Linked DNA regions of Oreochromis niloticus. The protein of the gene in region 3 interacts with the protein of the main gene of each other region in a pairwise test. Links are inferred from orthologs where the notes say so. Each region holds a gene or a part of one and is shown on either strand. Other genes may lie near its edges.

Region 1 (7,771 bases), on a different chromosome or scaffold from region 3:
CATACCGACACCAGTCTTTTAGAAAACCAGTAAAGTGTTACATTCTGCGTGTTCATGTAGCAGACAGAAAAAGTCCCCAGCTGAAGTTGGCAGCAGAGAACAGAGTGTGTCTGCATGCTCACAGCTCCTGTCCTTATGTCACGTTACTCTCAGTTTGAATTCAGTCTTAAATCAATACAAGTCACTTTAACCTTAGAAAAATGTTGCATTCAGGCTTCTGAAAGTATTTGCTACTCACATGTTTCCAAGTAAAATTACTGACAATTCCTATCTAATGTTCATGTGATCTACATTATGGACTATTTTATGTTGAGAAAACTGTTTTACTTCACTTGCTTCTCAGAAAATTCACATATTTAATTATCTAGAGAAAAAAAAACCCTAAAAGTTTAGGCTTCATGTACCCGTTTGCTCTAGATGTTTTCTGACTTCCTCCTTGCACTCATCAAACTTCACCTTGAACTTCTGAGCATCTGTAAACAGAACATAATGTAACAATTTAAAATCCAAGTTAAAAAGCTCTGGGAGAATTGATGTGTAATGTTGAAGTGGGTACCTAAATACTTACTTTCAGCATTTAAAAAGCGGATTGCCAGAAGTTCGGGTTTGGGGCATTCATCTGCATAATCAGCTAGTGTGTTCCACACCCATGCTCTGTCACTGCCAGCATTGGGCTTCAGCTCCATCATTGGTAAAACTGTGGTTAACAAGAACACATTAAGTGCAGGTATGACCACAGTCACTAAAAGGGATTTGTTTTAAAAATCTAGTAGTTTGCCCCCTCCCCATCTAGTAGTTTCATAGGGAATTAGACACACAGGTGCACCATTTCTTTATCTCCCCTCAGGAGTGAATGGAAGAGTAAAACACTCATGTATCTCAAGTCAAACACACACACACACAAAATAAATAAATAAAAAAAAATAAATAAATAAATAAAAAAAAAATCACAGTCTGGATTGTATCACAACCGGATGAGATTACAAGCCCCAGTACCTCCAACACCCACACCTCAACCTCTCGTTTCCTCATCTATAGTTCTGTTGTTGCCACTAATACCAGGGATTTCACTCATTTAACCATTGTGGGGAAGGGGGACGGGGGGATCACATGGGGCCTGTGGTCTTTTTGTATTTACATGTACATCAGAAAATGTTTGCAATAAAACCAAGAAAAAAAATCCTTGGACACACCAGTCAGTGAGCACACCCAGGATTTAAATAACACATCTTCACACCACTCTACCTGTACCACCACTCAGAAATATTGTTTAGGTTACATATGGCCAATTGTTGTCATGACATGAACAGCAATGAAATCAGATTTCTCAATTTGACTCACTGTGATGGTTGGCACAGATCTTTAAAGTTCGATCTCTCCTCATCAGGAGGCGGATTGTGCCCTTCTCTTTGTGTTTCAGCAGCTTGACGTCTCCAGTTCCTCTCTCCTTCCACTCTGGCGGGTCGTTTTCAGAGGCAAAACGATATAGTTTGGCCCGCCTATGAAAACAGCAGAACACCTCAGTATTTCGAAACTGATCAATGTATCTCAGTTAATGTGTTCACATGGTAAGCAACTTGCATTTTAAACAGCTCCTCCTCATCCTCCTCTAATGTTTTCACATCCTGCTCAGGAAGAGACACGATGGGCTCAAAGTGGGGATCATGATTAGAGTCTTCTGCACCATCTGCAGTGGTATCGTGGTCTTCCTGGTCCTAAGAGGAAAAGCACATTAAATTAACTCAATTCCCCCCCCAAGAAACTACATGGTTTTAATGTCATTCTTTAAATTCAACATTTGAATTCTAACAAATGAGCCACAGAGGATGAATTCTTCACTAGTGTTAATAGAGTTCAGTGTTAAAGATCCATCATTTTCTTCCACTTATCCAAAGGCTCTCAAATACAAAACTGATAGACAACAAACGTATTTAATATTAAAAAGTTAAAGAGAATAAAGATGCTAACTATTAAAACCATTGGTCAACCAGACTTAAGTGATAAAATCGACCTGAGCTATTATAAGCATCAATTAACTAATTATTAAAGGGACACTTTATTCTTACCTGCTGCTAGCTTTGTTTGCAAGTACACTGGCTACCCGCATAGCAAGTTAGCACTAACCCAATATATCGCTTAAGTCTTTTCTAATACAGGTATCCTAACATTAACATGACTGACATTATTAAATAAAAATCAGTACCACCATATTTCAATTAATGCTGTCACTGTGTTGGATATTTAGACGCATACTGTAAAACTTTGCTAAAGTTGTAGCTTTTACTTTATTATTGTCATCAAATACTTATCCAACTTTATTTTTTCCTAAGACAACTCGTTGTGAACTTGCCTAGCTAGAAACACAGGCCTTTCACTAGCCGGCTAGCCCGGAGCTACCAATCGGACTTTCTCTTTTCTTGCACCTCTGTGCATTTTGCTCAGCACAACCGCCGTATTTTTTCATTAACTTGTGTGATTTTCGGCCAGTCTATTCAATGTAACACCGTCATTGCTAACAGACAGTAAACAGCGCCCTGCTATAGCGCTAACACTAGCTAACTAATGTTAGCAAGTATTGTGCTTGGCAGACAAAGGCAAGCAACCTAGCTAACCTCGTTGCCCTGAGCTAGTGAGAAGTATACTAACTGAAAAATACCCCGTTTAAAAAACTGACCGTTGTGATCGTCTGGTAGAAGCACTAATGTTCTTTCGCACATCACCTCCCTATGCTAATGTTCACAGTATGAAGCTAATGTTAACACGTTTGCTGGCTGGACACTTTGAATTACTGAGCTCGTGAACTGTAACGGAAGTGTTAAGAGTGGAAAATTTTACAACGGTTACACTGTGCATTTTCATAAGTCCATTGGCGTTCCGTTACCTTTTACATCACTAAAAAAATATCAATTAGTGGATCATAGCATCACCAAAGACAAGATGATTGTCGGCATTTCTTGCACACGGCTTCCTTTCGAAACTTTGACAAATTATGACACATGAAAAACAATGTTTGTCACAAAATTGTTATTTCCTAGCAATCATAAAGCATTACATGACCTAGAACGATAGACCTCACCTTTGGGTCTGCCATATTATTGTAGATGTTTGTAGATTATGAGAGTAGTTTGAGAGATTCAAATCCCAAACTGGCCGCCGTTTCCCTTCAGCTTCTCTCACTTCCTGCTACAGCTTTCGCGCGCCGAATTCTCTACGCATGTCCGCGCTCACGCTGTCACAGCACGCGCACCGCCTCTCTCTTCTCAGGGACAGCCGTTTTCACAAAAATGTTTTTCCTGAGATATTATTTTCAATAGAAAAACGTAACCACTTTTATCGAAAGAAAAACAGAATAACCAATAAACAAACAAACCAAAAAAACTTCGGTTTCAATAATTGTCACTTCACTTTTCGATAGGATATATTAACATGTTTTCTACAGGATCAATAACTTCTGCATACCAGTTGTAGTACCTTTATTATGTAAAATGAAATACTTGTACAACTTGAAGTGACTTTTATCCAGACTGTGACATCTGGTGGTCTGCTTGACAGCCATAGAAAAGTGCTACAAAAAGTACTAGTCCATTTACCATTTATCAATCATGGCTTCAGTGTGCAAGACAGAATACGTGTGTGAAGGAGAGAGAGACGGGGATAACAGTGAAGTTGCAAGGAGAAGAGGTAGTGAAGATAAATGAGCTTAAATACCTGCAGTCAATCATCCAAAGCAGAAAATAGTGCTGAAATACTTAAAGGCTCAACCATCTTTCTTTCTTTTTTAAACAAGTGAACTAAACAACAATATGTAATGGAGACATTACATTACAACAAAAGGACAACAGAACAAAGGAGAGATTGTGAGATATTAGTGGCATAAAGCTGAAAAGTAGTAGAAAACTTGCTGGTGAATGAAGCCAAATGTATCCTATCTAAATATTAACAGACTCTTTAAAATACACATTTCCCTCAATGAAAGCATGAAAACAGAGTTATGAGTGGTAAAAAAAAAAATTTCTAATGAAACCAATGAATGACATTATTTTCATAGTGAAGTCTGGTTTTAAGACAATCTGAAAAAAAATCACACACGATTCTTAATTGGCACATAATTGTTCTGAATCAACACACTTTTTCCAGTATGCTATATAGCATACTGGAAAAAAGTGGGACTATGGCAATATTCCATACATGTGTTTAAACTGTGTAAAGACTATACCATACATACAGCCCACTTTGATCTTAACTGGGCTTAATGTAAATGTGAAGAAGTTTAACTACACATTTAGTCCCCGAGATATCGCAATAAAAGGAAAAAAGTCATTTCAAAACCATTTCTCCGTTTTTATAAATTCTAAGTAAATGCTGTAGTAAAGAAGAAATCTGTTAACGCGATTCTTTGAGTTTAAATTGTATGAAATAAACGTGTAAAATGACAGCAAAAGTTCTGATACTCCATTGCCCAGACTGTGCCGTAATTATAAAACACAAAACAGAAATGAAATGAAATTAATTAACAGAAATTCTGTCCAAGTGACCAAAGTACACAAACTGAAAGCCGGTGGGATGCCTGTCACTTTAACAAAGTTCATAGTTCAAGCTGCACGTGCTTGAATCAACATGGCGGCGCCTGCTAGGTAGAAGTGGAGCAGAAAGTAAATACAGGCACGGGAAGGTAAGGAGCTCTCGTGAAATGTTACCGCTAGTGAAAAACAGCACGCACGCAAAGTGTTCCGTTAAAATGCCAACGTGGTTCCTTTGAAGCTGCGAAGAATGTAACTTCCTGCTCGAGCTAGCATCAAGTCTTTCAGTTTGCCGTATAACCAAAACTTAATTACTGAAAAGCAGTGAATGCATGTACTGCTATGTAGGATAAACGCATTGTTTTACATATTCACCGTGACACGTTAATTGTAGCAGTTATTTGAAAGTTACACAATACCCTAAACCAGTCTTGAGAGTAGAGCGTGCGCGTTTGAAATAGTACCACTGTGTTAAAAGTTACCAGCAACATCTAGTCTTTGGTAATCTTTATGGTACTTTTTTTTCACGTTTTAACACCGTGAATGCAAGGTCCTGATAGGCCTACCTATTGTTTGGTGTTTTAGGAATCAGCAAAGTGATGGCAGATATCACTAGCAGCCCAGTGGGCATCACTCCGCCATCCCTCTCCCTGGAGGAGAAGCCTGATGACCTCGCCAAAACTGATGCTGCCAAGCCTGATGTTCAGGCTGAAGGAGAAAGCCAGGCAGCTTCTGACCCCGGCGTGTACCGCTACATAAAAGAGGACCTGTTCACATCGGAGATATACAAAGTGGAGATCAGGAATCTGCCCAGGTTCGTAGGCTTCAATGACCTGAAGAAGTTCTTGGCCAAGCACGGCCTCAACCCACACAAAATAAAGCTGTTTGGCAGGCAGACGTTTGCTTTTGTCACCTTCAAGAACGAAGAGGAGCGCGACAAGGCCATGAAGATGGTGCACGGCATGCAGTGGAAGGGCCAGGTGCTAAGTGTCAAGCTGGCCAAACCCAAGGCAGACCCCATCTTGAGGAAGAGGAAGGAGAATGAGGGGGAGAGCGCGGGAGGCCCGCCCCCATGCAAACGAACAGATGAGGGGGACGAGGAAGAGGAGCCGCTCAGTGTCCAGATAGCCAACGTTGTGACACCTCTGTGGAACGTGCCTTATGACGAGCAGCTGAAGAGGAAGGAGCAGGAGGTGGTGGCGGTTCTGCAGAAGCTGGCCAAGTAAGTGTAATATAATACAGATTTTGTGTGATTTTATAGGTAATATTGTGCTTTTTTTTTATGGGACTTCCTTACATGTCATTACAACTTAAACCTTGATGTTTCAGAGAGATCGGCAGCACCAACAAAGCCATGGTGCCGTGGCTGTTTGCACAGAAAGGGAAATACAACAACATGTGTTGTCCTCTGGAAGCCCTCCGACCGTCTCCTATACAGGTATACTTCAACTAGTCACCTTTATTTGTCCATAAAGGCAGGTGGTGATGCAACAGTTTAAAAAAAACAAACAAAAAAACACACAAGATAAAAAGTGACTAATTAGAGATGAAAAATGGCATAGATAAGTTTATTCTGTTTCACAAGCTCTCAGCTGTTTTCATGTCTCTAAATATTGTATATAATTTAATACTCATCCTTCTGACCCTGTTTCTGATCATGGCAGACAGAGTACAGAAACAAGTGTGAGTTCCTCATATCGGTGGGTGCAGATGGCGAGGATAAAACCATCGGTTTCCGCCTGGGGAAATACAAAGGAGGCTCCTGTGCTGTGGTGGGGCCGGCTGACACGTGCCACGTGCCGCCGGAGGCTAAGAAGGTGGTCAGCGAGTTTCAAAAGTTCATCAGGTATTATTATGTGTGCTCATGAGAATCTAGGAACAATTTAGTTTGGGGAACTAAAGCTGCTTGGAAAAAGTAGTTGAACCTAAACAAAACAAGAAGATGATCAAATTCATAATGTACGTGTGATGTTATTTGAGAAATATCATACAAATTAGTCACATGCTAGCAAAAAAAAAACTGAAAGCAAGTTGTCCGAATGATTTTGTTTCTAAAAGCAACTAATTGCTCAGTCTTGCTGTGATTGTTTGCAAACAGGACAACTCCATACTCTGTGTACAGCCCAGAGACATATGAAGGACACTGGAAGCAGCTGACTGTACGTACTACGAGGACCAAACATGCCATGGCCATGGTGTTCTTCAACCCACAGGTAATGAAATGTTGAAACTGAACTCGTGCCCCATGCTTTTAAAGTTCCCCCTTTTGATTTGCTTTATTTGTTTAATGACTCTTAGAAACTTGAAGAAGAGGAACTTGGTGCTTTAAAGAACTCCATGAAGGAGTACTTCACAGAAGGAGAGGGGAAAGACAGCGGTGTGACCTCGCTGTACTTTGTTAGAGAGGGCCAAAGGTAAAACTAAACTATATGCTCAATAAGTCATAATCTGTATGAATTTAATGACTGAATGTCATCTCAATAATACTCTATTTACGTAACTCCTTTTATTTTCTTTTTGCCTGTAAAGGAAATCTCCAAATCCAGAGGATCTGCCCTGTGAGCTGGTGGCTGGAGAGAGCTGCATTCAAGAAGAAATGCTGGGTTTAAAATTCAGGATTTCTCCTCATTCATTCTTCCAGGTGAGGAAGAGCAGAAGCTGCATGTTGTGGAAGTTATTAAGTCTGGTTTGCAACTAGAATATTTCAGGATTTCTTTCTGAGGATCAGTGAACACATGTTATGGCAGGCATGGTAATTCTTTTCTGAAGTTCTGATCTCACCATGTTATCCTTCTGCAGATGGGGTGAAACGGTACTTCTCTGTGCTGTGAACAAGCAGCTAGTCTCTTCTAAGGCTCATCACAGAGCCTAACAAACAGCAGTAGATTGCTGTACTCCACCATGCTTTACTTTTTTGCAGGCATTCCTAAAATGTGGAAACATCTCGAAATACAGGGGTTAACTCAAAAGTATCCTACAAGCCTAGAGTGACTGAATTTAATACATTCATCTTATTAATCGGTGGCTAGGACACTTGGGTATGGTGTGTCCTTGGTTGGTTATTGCCAAGGCAGCAATGACCAACTTCATTGATGGTCCCAGTTGTGTTTGCCAGTTTTAACATCAGGGGGTTAGCCTCCATTAACATTCTGTGTCTGTGTGCTAGGTGAATACAGGAGCTGCAGAGGTGCTGTACTCTGCTGTGGGGGAATTAGCCAAGCTGGATCAGGACAGCATACTACTGGATGTGT
Region 2 (7,840 bases), on a different chromosome or scaffold from region 3:
AAAATGCTGTGTTCAAACCACTCAAACCATCCAAAAAAAAGTTCAAATTTTGTCAGTCCACCGAATATTTTCCCAAAGGTCTTGATAATCTTAGAGATGCTTTTTTTTTTTCCTTTTTTCACAAATGTGAGACGAGCTTTTGTGTTTGTGTTGTGTGAAAGTCTCTTTCTTATTGTTGAACCCTGACCTTAACTATGGCAAGTGAGGGTTTTTTTTCCTGGATGAGCTGTTGATGTTCTCTTGGAGTAATTTTAGCAGGCTGGCCACTCCTGGGAAGGTTCAACACTGTCCTAAGTTTTCTTGATTTGTGGATAATGGCTTTAACTGGGGTTTGCTGGAGTCCCAAAGACTTGGAAATTGCTTTGTAAAACTTTCCAGACTGACAGATGCCAATGACTTTAAAATATGGCATGATGTGCTGCTCTTTGAAATCTCTTAGCTTCCTTTACTTTGTCAGACAGGTTTTATTTAAGTGATTTCTTGATTCAACAGGTCTGGCAGTAATCAAGCCTGGGTGTGTTTAGTGAAACTGAACTTGTTTGTGTTCCAAAAAATTGTGGTTAATCACAGTTAATTTATAATTTAACAAGGGGCCAATTACTTTTTCACACAAGGCCAGGATAAGTTTGGATAGCTTTTTTCCCCCTTAACAAATCATCATTTAAAAACTGCATTTTGTATTTTCTCAGATTATCTTTGTCAAATGTTAACATTTGTTTGATGAAACTGAAACATCTAAGTTTGACAAATGCAAAAACAAAACTCAGAACTCACAAAGGAGGTAAATACTTTTTCATGCCACTCTAATAAGCTAGAAGTGATAACTAAACAGCTGGGAATGCTAATAGAAAAAAACAGCTTGATATACTGCATCCAGTTTATGACTTTTAGCATATTCCCTTAAAGTGAAGGGTAGCTCATCAATAAGCTCTATTAAAGCTCAGACCCGCTACACTAGAGAGCAAATTTAATTACAGAAAGAATGGCTTTTTGCACTTAAAGGACCACATAGTGGATCTATGAAAGAAAATATGCTCCTGAAACTTCATTCAGTCACCTTTTTCTTCTAGCTTAGTAAAGTGTGATGCGTACCGTAGTGAAAATTCAGCGATCGGTTAGATTTCTTGCAGCACATTTTGGCATCTTAAAGGCAATCATTCCTTTGTGCGTGCCCATGCACACCATGCTTCAAGACATACACTCTTACTAAAGTCAAAACTATAAGAATTTTAAATGCTGAGACTGCAGAAAGGGTGAGACAGTCGCAGCACTCAGCTGTAAAACAGTCTGGCACAACACTAACAAAGGAAATGAGCAAACCACATAGCAAATAACAGACTTTTATTCAACACTCTAAGCCCAACTGCTTATATCTGAGTGCCAATCCCAGTCACTTGCAAATAAACAGATTTATGAGAAATAGTACACACAAATTGCTACATTTGTCTAGACAGGACATTATTCTAGCTTTACTTATACTGGCAAGATTAGGCTGGAGTTTTATGAATATGTATATTTGTATATGTCAAATCTTGACAGTCTCCAAATTTGCACTTAAGAGTGAATTAGGTGACTCAGCAAATAAACTACATTTCTAACAGAAGAAGAAAGAGACAAATTTTGCCTCCTACAAAGAAAAGCCGAATGTGAAAATAACTGAAATTCAGTATTTATTTGGGATAACTCATTCCCTGCAAAAATATTTAAATATTACATAAAATTTTCTTTATGTGGCCATTTAATCATCCGTCTTCTTCTGTTTATCTAATCCAGGGTTACAAGAGGTCTTGGATCTGTGCTACCAGAAGGCAAAAGGCAGGGTACACAGTGCAAGTCTCTTGCAGGGCTAACACAGAGGGAAAACCATTTGTGCTCATTCACACCTGTGGAAAGAGTTAGAATGACCAATTACCCTAACACATGCATGTCTGTAGGAGGAAACTGGAGTACCTGGAGAGAACCCATAGTAACATACTGTAGGGAGAACATACACACTGCACACAGAAAGTCTCCAGCCAGCTAGTGGATTCAAACCCAGGCTCTTCTTGCTGTAACGTGACAGTGCTAAAACACTGTGCCACTTCACCAAAAAGCACTATATTGCTGTTTTCACTATATTGCTCCCAAGTACTACATCCATCCATCCAATTTCTTCTGCTTATCCAATTCAAGTCCACAGACGGGCTGGAACCTACCCCAGCTGTCATAGGGTGTGAGGCAGAGTACAGGCTGGCTGGAGAGGTCGCCAGTCTGTCACAGGGCTAACCGGGAGAGCCAGACAATCATTCACATTCATATGTACAGGCAATTTAGATCCACCCCCCATTCTTTTACTATAACTACTGTTGATCAGTAACTGCAACATGGATTATCTTTAAAATCTAAAACTTCATGTCCATTCCAAAAAAACAAATAACACAAGCTTAAATGCAGTCTTGAATGGAAAGTTTAAAGTAAATACAGTATCTTTCAGGAGATTTTTAGTGATAACAAGCGCTCTGAGTTAACGTGTTGATTTTCTTTTTACACGACAAATTGCGTAATCAGGAGGAAAAGCAAAGCTATTATGCATCTTAGCCTCCAGTAATTACACTGATGTACTTTAATATAAACAGACAACAAAATTCTACCACACTGCATTAACTGGGGTTTTTTTGTTTGTTTGTTTGTTTTGACTGTACTGACAATCACTCATTATTGTGGCAGTTACAATACAATACCAAAATATAATCATTAGAACAACAGACAGAAGTTCTGGCATGAATATTAGTTTTGATTAGCACCAACATGCAGCCATCATCTGTCAGTATAAACATCAAAACATTTCCTTATTCATCACATTGCTACCAGGTAGAGGGAGTGTAGAAAAACTGCACTGCACAGCTCAGAAATTGCACAGTCTCTGAGCACAAGTCTCCACAAAGACATTGAAAACCATCCAACAAATCCCACACAGCATAAATCAGCCCATTGGTAGGAACACGGGTTGCATTCATAGGTGGCAGAAAACTCGGAAATAAGTTGAATGTGTGTATTTTAAAAATGCACTGGCATATAAATATTCTTATAGCTCACCAGGTCAGGAGGTATCTTACACCTCCTTAGTGAGGTGGAACAAAACTAGTGTCTTCCTTCAGACTAAATATTTCGTATCGTTTCACAGAAAAAACCACACATTTAAAATGATAAACTGTATAGTTTAATTTGTTGATTGTGCGGTGTGCTGGTGATAGAGAAGTAAAATGAGAAGTATCCAGATGTTCACTAGAGTCGGTAATGTCAGTAGCATGTGGCGTTCTCAACAGCACCGTCAGTGATTTAGCTACATTACTAAATGCCATCTTTGGTTCTGCTGCAGAGATTCGTATATTCGTATATGTGGGGAGCTGTCACTGTGTCAGCTGCTTCTTGTTTGGGAATCTTTCATCTATTGTGGGAATATTTTCATCTCTAACACAGCATGAATAAAAACTTTTATCCATTAATTTATCTGATAAATGTTATTTTAAATTTTAAATGAATGGGCAATCTTTCAGAAAACCTTCAGTAAATAATCCCCAAAACTCGTTCTGATTTGATAAACTAAGAGTTTCCATCAGCTGTGGGGCTAAAGAGTCGTATCTCTCTTGTTGTAGCACGTCTCAGAGGTTCATTACAGAAATAACTGTTCGGGTCTCTGTAATGAACTGCTCAATGGACAGGCTTTTATCTGTTAACAAAGAATCATTGCTTGCATTATTTATTGATAAATATAGCAAGTTGATTAAATCATTCATGCATACTCCCTACTTTGTCTCTCTATGTTTAAATGCTTTTTCCTTGTTTTTCACTATCCTATAAATTTTGCTTCAACACGTTGATTTTCCTCACCTTTACCTCTGTGTATTTCTGTCGTTTGATCTCCTCCCTTGTATTTGCAATCAGATTTTCCCATTTTTGTTGCACTCTGAAACTGTACAATGGACCTGTGGGATGGCAGCATTTATGGTTTGGACTGTCGTTTCCCAGACTTGTCCCTTGTATTCTCCAGTGTTATATTTTCTTCTGACTGTTTCTCTTCTCCTGCATTCTGCTGGACATCACTTCAAGAGCCTTTAGAGGCAATTATCTAATGGAGATACACACAGATTGATTATCTGTGATGGATTATCTGTTATACTGGTGCTCCCTAAAACATGCCTAAAACAAAGCTGAAATTTTGATTCGTGGCACATACAGGTAAAGGCTTCAAGTTAATGCTTTCAGACTCAAGGTTTCAGTTAAAATATTAAGAGATTTTTTTAAAATTAAAGATATTTAAAGATTTTCCCTATAAGAGTTGATTCTAAGCGACCAGTATTTAAATATACGATCGGACTCTGGCAGAATTCAATTATTATGATCTGAATATTAGTTATAATAAATAAATACTGATGAAATCTTTAAGGTGAAACGTAACGCTTTCGTACCCGTATTACAGGAAAAATCTAGCGCGTCCCACGAAGATGACGTCCTCACCGGGTGACGTGTCAGTTTGTTTACAGCGGTGAGCAGTCGGCTGCAGCTGCTCAGACATGGCTGTTGATATCACGCTACTTTTCAAAGCCAGCGTTAAGACGGTCAAAACCAGGAACAAAGCCATAGGAATTGGCTTCGACTCGACCAAAGATGAAATTTTCAAGAGAAGCAGACCGAAGAGTGGCTTCTCACCGAGGGCGAAAGAAGTGGTGAGTGTTCATCCAGCCTAGCGTTAGCTAACTCTGCTAGCACAGTGGCCAAAGTGCTTTACGTTTAATGGCAGCTTCTAAACTTACTACTACTTTGTAGGAGCAACAGCAGCCAGTGGAACATATACAGTGCATATACGATGCTTACCACTTGTATTTTCTTTAGTGTGTTGGCGCTGTTCGTGGTTAGCCGGGCCTGTCAACATGTGCAGGCTATAACTTTGCTAAATGCAGTATGAACTTAAATTTGATTAGATTTTTAAAAATTTACATTGAATATATGCAAATTATATTCAAAATGTGTCATAGATTACATAATATTATGATATGTTGAGATTTAAAATATATAGGATTTGATTATTGCTCTTTTTGACTAATACGATAAGTGGCCAGTTAATCGTTTGTTGACGGCTTTGATGATCTGTACTGAGAGTAGGGAGCAGGTGAAATAGAGCCTGGAGATGTGCAGGTATGCTTTGAGAGAAGATGAAAGTCAGTAGAAGCAAGACAGAATACATGTGTGTGAATGAGAGGGAGACAGGTGTAACAGTGAAGCTGCAAGGAGCAGAGGTACTGAAGTTTGATTACTTTAGGTATCTGGGGTCAACCATCCAAAGCAATGGATAGTGCATAAGAGGTGTGAAAAAGAGTTTGCAGGCAGGGTGAAGAAGGTTGATGCAATATCAGGGGTGATTTGTTAGAGAAGGATAGCACCAAGAGGGAAAGGGAAGGTTTGCAAGACTAGACCTACTATGATGTATGGCTTGGAGGTGGTGGCACTGACAAAAACGACCGGAGGCCGAACTGAAGATGTTAAGACTTCTTAAGACTTAAGACTTCACTGGGAGTCACCAGGTTAGACGAAATTAGAAACAAACACATCAGAGTGCAAGAGAAATACTCACCTTATGCCATTTCCTGTATATACTTTGGTAATCTACAGGTAACTTTTACAGATGAGAAACCTTGTTCACATTGAACTTTTATTTAGTATTTTGTAGCCAGGCGTTAAGAATACAATATTCACTCATTAAAGTTATCTGGGGATGCCCAGGCTTACTACGTGTGCTCAACTGTGTTTTACAATTCCTGGTTATTATTATAATAACTGCATTTGTTGGAGTATGCAGTTATTATAAGTGCATACTCCACTTCATGAAAAACAGTCTTGGCACAGATTGATAGATGTGGGCAACGCAGGGAGAGAAATAAGCCAGAAATGTTGTTTCATAGCTGCTGGTGTGCAGTCTCCCAGTCTGTATTCTCATATCTGACCAAATTATCATGAAAAAAAATCACTCAAGGACAAAATTGTCACATCAATAGCCTTCCTATAGATTAATCAATAAAAGCTAAAAGTAAAAAAAAACAAAAAACACTTTTTATAGCATTGAACTCAGTGAAGCCTCTTCTTTTCATCAGAACAGTTCATTTATATTGCAGTTTAATTGTAAATTGTGCAATTTATTTTCCACAACACAAAGCCTGCAACTGATATTCAGAAAAAGTTTTACACGCTTGGATCAGCAGTTTATATTTTTTTCAGAAACCATATAAATATGAACAGCTACACGACTGAAGAAGTATGTTTTTCTTTTCTTCCTTTCTTAGTTTTCTGGCAATACCCAGTTAAAATGACCTTGGTCTCACTGAAAAATTCTAGCTTTTTAATACACTGTCAGTAATGGAATTTTGACTTCATCTCCTCTAATACTGTAATAATATCAATTTATTTGTAGGATTTCACATAAGACTAAATATATTGGGGAAAAACAGCTTTGGATCTCATTTTATGAAACATCTTAAATGATCTTTTTCCACTGAAATACAGACCTATCCTCTATGGTTGACGGTACAAGATCTAGCAGTGTACATGTTGCTTATACTTCTACTGCTGCTCTTTGGCCTGACATGAATATCTCAAAAACAAACCTCTTCAAAGGTACCTTGAAGAACCACTTTACGTATCCCAAGGGGAGTCAGGGCTTTAAGTTGTACCCGATGTCTCCAGCCATCAGCCCGAGGCAAACATAAGCCCATTTGCTGCAGCTTTGCACAACCAGGTTTTTGTTATGTTCTGTTACATTGATATTACAAATGGTGGTTTAATAAAGGCACTGCTGCTTATTCAAGAGAAACCCAAACCTATCCTGTGGTGGCTGTCTCCTTCGCGTTGCAGATATCATCTCCGACCATCTCAGTGAAGCCGTTTTTGCCTAAATTGAAAATGTGAGCTTGGAATGTCCTGACTGCTTACAGTTATGTCGCGGTTTTCACCCACGTCTCCCCAGCTCAGCTATCCTTTTCTGTCTCTATTCAGCATCACATAGGCAGTAATTTTTATGCAGGTCGCCTCTTCCCATGTATGATTCCGTAAACATGCTGCAATAACATTTTCTTTCGGCTCTCAAACAATTTCTGGGGAAAGCTGATCCTCCCAAGAGCCAGTGATTAAAGGTGGAAGATCAAAACAGAGAAAATATTAAATTAGGTCCCCAGTAACAATGTTGACGGCCGGCACCTAATGCACAACAGATGTGGGTGCCCTTCAAGACATGCATAACTCTCCCACTAACTCTCCCTCCTAAATTCCCATTGAAGCTTCGCAAAAATAGAAAGAAAACATCAAAGTTGACAAATACACAGTGGACCTCTGAGACTTTTTTCTTTTTCCACTCAAAAGTCAACACAATGAGAAAGGAAATGTAGCTACTTTCAAGTCGATTCAAAAAGGGTTTGATTGACTAATAAGAGGGCCAGTGTTTGCAGGGTGGGGTTTGGTAAGGGGAATCTTTTACCTCATAGGGGTTGGTTTTGGGCGCTGTGATCTCCGTTTCACCGCTCACCTCGTCGCTCTCCGCAGCATGCTACCCTTCTCAAGTTTAAATGGGGAAGGTCACTCTGAAATTGTCAAATTGGGTGTAGAAAATAGCGTTTGGCTCCCCACTCTGCCTTCAGTATTGGTATTCCAAAATTGGCTCCTTCTCACACTGTTTTCTTTGAAACACTGAAAAGTGGGCCAGCTCTTAAAATTATGTTGTGTTGTTAGAGGGGCTCTTCACTGTGAAAACTTTACAGTGAAATGGTATGCTCTAGTATTTTCATAACATTTAGTCACAATTTTTTCGATGATG
Region 3 (7,396 bases):
TTTTGTCAAAGCGAGAAGGCACCTAAAGAAAGCTCCAGCCGATCCAGGAGAGAAGGACAACCGCTGCCCAGGCGAAAACCTGTAGTGATCCCATATGTGTCAGGAGTATCGGAACAGTTGAGACGCATTTTTTCTAAACACCGGGTCTCTGTGGCTTTTAAACCCCAAAATACGCTGCGCCAAAAACTGGTCCACCCCAAGGATCGGGTCCCCCGACACAAACAGAGTAACATAGTGTACGCTGTTAAGTGCAGGAGGATTGCCAGGATGTATACATCGGGGAAACCAAACAACCTCTGGCTACAACACAGAAGAGCTACCTCATCAGGCCAGGACTCTGCAGTCTATTTACACCTACAGGCCAGTGGACACTCTTTCAACGATGAGGATGTACACATCCTGGACAGGGAGGAACGCTGGCACCAATGTCTGGTGTTTAAACATCAATGTCTGAACTTTCCAGGCTCTCTTTCCTGGCACCTCACTACATCCATCTTTTACATACAGGCTGTGTTTTTTCACTGAGGCCTAAAAGGAAGAAAAAATGAACACTCTCATTTCAGTTTAATAAGTCTTTAATCGTAAAAACAAGTTTTAAAAAACATCCTTAAGAATGAGCCATTTGCCGCCACCGCAGTCTCGGTGCGCGGTCGCGGTCCGAGCAGGGACCCAGGGGCACGCCGCCTCAGGTGAGAGCTCTCCAACACCTGCGGGCCCATCGGAGCTCAGACGCTCCTGCCATCTGCACGTGTCGTTCTGTTGCCAAGGACGCCATGGTCGGTTTCCGGGATGAGCCGTCCGAGATTCCCTGAAGTAGAAAAGAAAAATATCAAATAATTAATTAAAAGACATAAACACGAGGAGTTCAAGCATCTATTTACCACCAGCAGCACCATGTGTTAAAAATCTTTTTAAAAAAAGCTTTAAAATCCAAAATTAAACTTTTCCATAATGTTTTCTTCATCTACAGTTTCATTACGTGATCTGTCAGCTACATATACGAGTTTATCCTGTAGGATTAAATCATAATAAAGCTTAAAAATGATGTAAGAACTGTATCATTTCTAATTGACTTGCAGTACCTGCACAGGCCACCAGGAGGGCACGTAAGAAGAAAAGAGATGAGGAGGCAGGAGGAGGAAGAGGACAAGGGAGAACATGAAGAAGACGAACAGGGATGTGGAAAAGAAGGAGGATGGAGAAGGCTTGGGGTGGGGTGGGGCAAAGAAGGAGAGGAAGAGCAGGAGGAGGATTGTAAAAGTGTACAAACTGTTAGCCTCTGCCCTCTGCACCAAACCTCTACTGGATATCTGCCCATTCAAACTATGAACCTGGTGATGACGTGCAGGAGGCGAGCGGCAGGAGTTAATAAACAGTTTTGTTCTGAGGGAATTCATATTCTACGGGAAATATATGACAAATATTATAGCTAAAACAACAGCTAAGCTGTCTTTTCACTCATGACGTCACTACTATTCAACCTTAACAGTAACAAGAACAGCTGGCTTTAAATTCAGCTGTTAATTAACAGTTAATTATTGTTAATAACTGTGGAGCAAGCGCAGTTTAGGAAAATGCTTGATGTGGTTCAGTATGCTGTGTTCCAAACATTCGTTTAAAAATCGCCGATTTCAGATTCAGACCGATCCTCGAGCAAAGAAACCGAGAACAAAGATTCAAACTGGACCTCCTACACAGGAAACACGCTGTGTAAAATTCGGCGCAGGACTCGATATAAAAAGAAACTTTGGACTCTTTTCTGAGGGCTGTAAAATCAAAGTGTGGCAGCAAAAACCGCTGCGGGAGAGGCTTAAATTCAAACAATCGTAAAGGAAGTTCTGCACGCGGCGCGTCTGGCGTCACGTTTGCCCTGTTCCAGCGTTCCAAATAGCCACAGACCAGACAGCGTTCAGAAATCTGCCCGTTTTTAAGTGTTTATGGCCTCTGTCAGTGCAAACGGACTCGTGTGAGTCAGACGACTTTGCTCTGGCTGAAACTGCATTCCTACTTTACTTCGGCGCACAGTCACTGACACACAAACACGGTTTTCCAGGGTTTACCTCAGTATTCACTCCTTGGCTTTCTTCTCGCTGTTCTGGAGCTTCTCCACGATCTTGCGCTCATGTCCTGCGGGGTTGTGTCTGTTGGTGTTGTCGCTGGCCTCCTTCTTTGTCCTGCCCTTCCGAGCCGAACCTTCTGCAACAGAAAAACTAAAGCAGTGAGTTTTCCGGGCCCGGAACACGAACCGGACGGAACCAGGACAGGGTAGCTCACCTGCGTATTTATCCGTCAGGTTATAGTACTCGTACTCGTCGTAGTACTCGTCCTCAAACTTGGTGGGCTTCATGTTTTTCACGTCGACGTGACTCATGTTTGTTTTTCTAGAAGTTTGTCAGAGATCTTTGCGTCTGCGTAGTAAGCCTCAGTGTTCGCAGGTTTGTCTGTTTTTCGTCTTTCTGTGTTTGTTTATATATGAGAAGCATGCACCTCCTCCTCCTCCTCCTCCTGACTCCTCCTGCAGGGCTCCTCTTTCCTCTGCACTAATGTTGCATCAGCCACAGAGCTGCAGCCTCTGCATAACAAGATTAAGAACACACTCTTTGTGTTGAATACACAACTTTTTATCTCATATTTCTACATTTTATTTATTCAAAGTCACATTCAGTATTTCTTCTCATAGTTTTAAACCTTTGTTTACATAGTTATTAGCTCTCGTTGGTTTTTACAGCTAATTTAAACTTATTTGACTGTATACTCTTGTTTTGGTACTTTTTATGTACCCACCAAGGTATCCTAACTTTCCTTAACCTGTCCTGTTTTTGACCATGAAGCTTGTGTTATCTTCATCACATGCCTGTGACACCTGTGTACGTGGACTCTGGTCCTGTGACTCACTGTGAGACCCGACCTTGGTTCCCGCAGATGATCCCGGGTCTGTTTTCCTTGGTTATCAGCAGCTGCTGTGGTCACATGACCCTGACCTGGTTCATGGTGTTTATCTAACGCTGCTCCAACTGCACTGCAGGCCGTGACAGCAGATCAGAGTCATCCTGCAGAAATGTTTCCATTAATGTGACCGAGGCTCATCTCCAGAAGCTTCACTGTGACTTTTGGAGCCTGGCTTTTCGGTTTGTTTCCTCTCATCACTCTCATCACTCAGACATCCTTTCAGACATGATTGTAACCGTTTCCACTTTTGTTTTTCATATCAGTTTAAATACTTACTTTTTTGGAAAAACATGCAGCGAAAACTGAAGACGCTGCTGAAGGATTCAAAGCAGCATGAAAGGGCCGCTGCAGTTACTGCATATATTAGCTTTGTGTCCTTGTGTTCACATTTAAACTGAGTTATCTAATCTGTGTGGAACAAACTTTGGACTGAGCGTCTCAGAGGAACAAACAGAAGAACGAGCGCTTTGTTGTCTGCTCGTGTTTGAGAGTCAGGACATTTTTACATTTGGGCTGTAAAACACTTCAGCTCAGCACAGGTGTCACTTTCTGAGCAACTGAAGCTGTTTCAGGTGGTTTGTGCTGTAAACAGCAGCAGGAGGAGTCAGGAGGAGTCGGGAGGAGTCGGGAGGAGGCTTCTCAGACTCCTCGTGAGCGACGTGACTGAGCCGGCTGCAGAGGAGGATGTGAGACTGCAGGAACGTTTTCCTGAGTCATGGCGTGTCGTAAACATGACCTCCTGACACACAGACACAGACACACACAGACACAGACACACACACACACAGACACACACAGACACACACACACAGACACAGACACACACAGACACACACAGACACAGACACACACAGACACACACACAGACACAGACACACACAGACACAGACACACACAGACACACACAGACACAGACACACACAGACACACACACACACACAGACACAGACACACACAGACACAGACACACACAGACACACACACACAGACACACACAGACACACACACACAGACACAGACACACACAGACACACACACACACACACACACAGACACACACAGACACACACACACAGACACACACACACACACAGACACACACACACAGACACAGACACACACAGACACACACACAGACACACACACACAGACACACACAGACAGACACACACACACAGACACACACACACAGACACACAGACACACGCAGACACACACACACAGACACACAGACACAGACACACGCAGACACACACACACAGACACACACACACACACACACACACACAGACACACACACACACACACAGACACACACACACAGACACACACAGACACAGACACACGCAGACACACACACACAGACACACACACACACACACACACACACACACACACACAGACACACACACACACACACAGACACACACAGACACAGACACACGCAGACACACACACACAGACACACACACACAGACACACACAGACACAGACACACGCAGACACACACACACAGACACACACAGACACAGACACACGCAGACACACACACACACACACACACACAGAGACACACACACACAGACACACACACACAGACACACACACACACAGACACACACACACACACACAGACACACACACACAGACACACACAGACACAGACACACGCAGACACACACACACAGACACACACACAACTTTTAAACCTTGAATTGAATTTTCTGCTTTTTAGATTTAAACCCATCACACGTGTTTGTTTATCATTCATAAGTTTTATTTTTTATCTTATAAATTTATTTGTATCTTTTCTGACTCAGGAAGTCGAATCTTTCCGATGATGATTTTGTGTTTTTAGCAGCAAACTGTGGACGATCATGTCTTCATGCTGCAGCTCCGACTCAGTGAAACATGATTTTTTGACGTTTTGACGTCGAGCTGAAATCTCGTTATTCTGCTGAATCAGGGAAACTTCTGTTTCTGTACTTTCTCTCCTCACGTTTGACTGTTTATCTCACAGTTTGAAATATTTCATGAATAACTGACTTTTTTCATGAAATCAACCTTTTATCATGTTTATGTCGCAGCTCTAAGTCACGGCTGCATGTTTACACGTTTTAAACCGAGTGTGTAATCTGCAGGATCTGAGCTCAGGATGTTTTCTTTGCTGCAGACGTGTGCGCAGTCACATGTGCGAGGCGTGTCGCGCTCCCACTGAACACACAGGTCACAGATATCAGCTGATATCAGCAGGTAAACATTAACTGCGGCTGAAAACTTGCTCAGGTGTTTTCATCTTCATGAATCCTTTTACTGCACGTTACACGCACTAACACAGCTGTAAACATTTCCTTTTAAATCTCCTGAAATTGTTTCATTTATTTATTTCATTCACCTGAGAGGCCGAGGTCACTGATCGTTGGACATGTTGAGGGTTTAGGGTGCACGTGCGTCCTCTCGTGCACGCGAATCATTTTGGTTTTTCTGAGTTTTAGTATTTTTACAGCTGGCCTCCATCACAGTGCTGCTTCTTTGAACCAGTGTTTCCAGTTTTTATCCGTCTCAAACCAGCACAGCCTTAGCCACCTCTGATTTACTAAAGTCAGGGCCCAAAGTTTGTACTGACGGGTTAAATATGAAAAATGTACAGTGCAAAAGACGAACAGTGATGATTACTTAACGTGTCATAATAGAATTCCATGTATGTAAAATAAAGCATGCAGAATCATTTTAACATGAAATGATTGAACAGTTTTAATTCAGACAGAGATTTTTCAGACACTTTGAATGTTTTAGTTCTTCTGATTTTTGGATGTTTGGAAGTGAAACACAAACTGAAACAAACTCAGCGACGTCTAAAAGACTCTCATACAGTTCATATGAAAGTAATCCCATTACTTTACTGTTTACTTATTTTCAAAAGTAATTAGTTACTTAATTACTTTTTAAAACATGATACACAACCTGAATTCGTAATAAAGCAACAGACGTTTCAGCCCAAATTTATTTTTTCTGCATAATCCATCATATAAAATGTAACCAAATGAAAAAGTCTCTTTTTATAAATTGTTTTATTTGTTTTCATCTTTATGCACAATGAATTAAGCATGAATTAAATTATATCCATCAGTCTTTGACTTTAACATTTAAACCTATTTCCTGCATATCCCAGCATATAAAAATAATAAATATTGTTTTGTGTTTACACTCTTTCAAATAGATGCAAGTAAAACACAGCAGGAAATAAATAAAATCAAAGATTCAGCAGCTCTGAGTCCTGTCGCTCTTAAATCTATTGTCACCTGTTTAGCAGGAGTGGGGCGGGTGGAGGTTTGCCCACAGCGGTCATGTCAGTGGGAGGATCCGGGGGTTTCTCTGTGAGTGTCACATTCCCGTGGCGGCGTGCTCGCTGCTCAAAGTTGAAGTTTAATTCTTTGCTGTAGAAAGAAGTTTTCTTCCCACGCAGAGTGAACAGCAGACGCTGATGTTTTTGTCAGTTTTTACAGAATCAAACTCAAAGTAATGTGATTACTTCCACGCTTTAAACGCTGCATGGTCGTACTCTCTCCATCACTCCATGTTATCCACGGTTGATCTGCACACGTCTGTTGCTGCCACAGACATCGCACACACTCGCACATCATTGTCATGAGACACTCTCACAAACAAAATCACGGTTTAATAACGCGAAAGTAATGGTAATCTAATTACTTTTTTGCAATCTTAATCCCTTACTTTACTTGTTACTTGAAAAAGTAATCAGATTACATGTTACTGCCCACCACTGGTGCAAAAGAACTCAGTCTCTTACCTTCAGTTGAACATATCTAAAACAAAGACATGGTTTCTGACTTTAGGCCACAGAGATGGAGCGAGAAAGAAGCACAGAGGGTCACCGGCACCCTCACTGCCAAAGGGAACTTGCTCATTTCCACACTGACCGAGGAATTCTAATTTATTTTTATCTCTTTGTTTGGTGGCATGGTTCAGTCAGACCTCTGCCACAGAGAAAAATGCACTGAGTCACATAGTGAGATGGTCCAGGCGTCTGACAGGTGAGTCACAGGGTAACCCCTCTATGGGGTGAACTGCCATCACTGAACTTAATAAGAACTGTTTTTTGATTTGATTCATCTCGTCTAATTACCAAAACAGGTGTGTGTTGCCAAACACATTTTTCAGTAAAGCAAATTTACCTACAGGTGTAAATAAAGTAACCTCGAACCTTCTCCACAAAAGTGAAGAAAAAACATTTTTATGCAACTTTCATGCCAGATTGAACAAATATGACAGGTTGTACCACAGAAACAGAAATCTTGTCTTTTCCAAAGAAAAACAACAACTGGAGTTTCCAGAAGAACGTCCAATTATAAATGAGCAGACGTGCTCTACATACCTGCCAGTGTTTGACCTTCTGTCCTTTCATAATTCAGGTTAAATTAAACAA

What was found.
Region 1: the proteins of nupr1b (region 3) and ranbp1 interact in a two-hybrid assay, tested with the Homo sapiens proteins (2 studies listed by BioGRID and IntAct). The link is inferred for Oreochromis niloticus from reciprocal best matches to the Homo sapiens genes NUPR1 and RANBP1.
Region 2: the proteins of nupr1b (region 3) and stx18 interact in a two-hybrid assay, tested with the Homo sapiens proteins (2 studies listed by BioGRID and IntAct). The link is inferred for Oreochromis niloticus from reciprocal best matches to the Homo sapiens genes NUPR1 and STX18.

The regions. Positions count from the first base shown.
Region 1 is NC_031977.2:9,595,316-9,603,086, forward strand, and holds the start of ranbp1 (ran-specific GTPase-activating protein), read right to left. Parts: upstream 3,242-7,771; 5' UTR 3,092-3,241; coding exon 3,077-3,091; intron 2,993-3,076; exon of another isoform or gene 2,675-2,992; intron 1,716-2,674; coding exon 1,582-1,715; intron 1,500-1,581; coding exon 1,342-1,499; intron 698-1,341; coding exon 569-697; intron 474-568; coding exon 405-473; intron 115-404; exon of another isoform or gene 1-114. Other genes in the region: trmt2a (tRNA (uracil-5-)-methyltransferase homolog A), read left to right, coding at 5,120-5,742, 5,850-5,958, 6,185-6,366, 6,619-6,733, 6,819-6,934, 7,050-7,161, 7,687-7,771. UniProt on the Homo sapiens protein: Plays a role in RAN-dependent nucleocytoplasmic transport. Alleviates the TNPO1-dependent inhibition of RAN GTPase activity and mediates the dissociation of RAN from proteins involved in transport into the nucleus.
Region 2 is NC_031970.2:27,530,852-27,538,691, forward strand, and holds the start of stx18 (syntaxin-18), read left to right. Parts: upstream 1-4,479; 5' UTR 4,480-4,553; coding exon 4,554-4,706; intron 4,707-7,840. UniProt on the Homo sapiens protein: Syntaxin that may be involved in targeting and fusion of Golgi-derived retrograde transport vesicles with the ER.
Region 3 is NC_031969.2:33,682,274-33,689,669, reverse strand, and holds nupr1b (nuclear protein 1b), read right to left. Parts: upstream 2,454-7,396; 5' UTR 2,372-2,453; coding exon 2,275-2,371; intron 2,197-2,274; coding exon 2,069-2,196; 3' UTR 2,061-2,068; intron 809-2,060; 3' UTR 691-808; downstream 1-690. UniProt on the Homo sapiens protein: Transcription regulator that converts stress signals into a program of gene expression that empowers cells with resistance to the stress induced by a change in their microenvironment.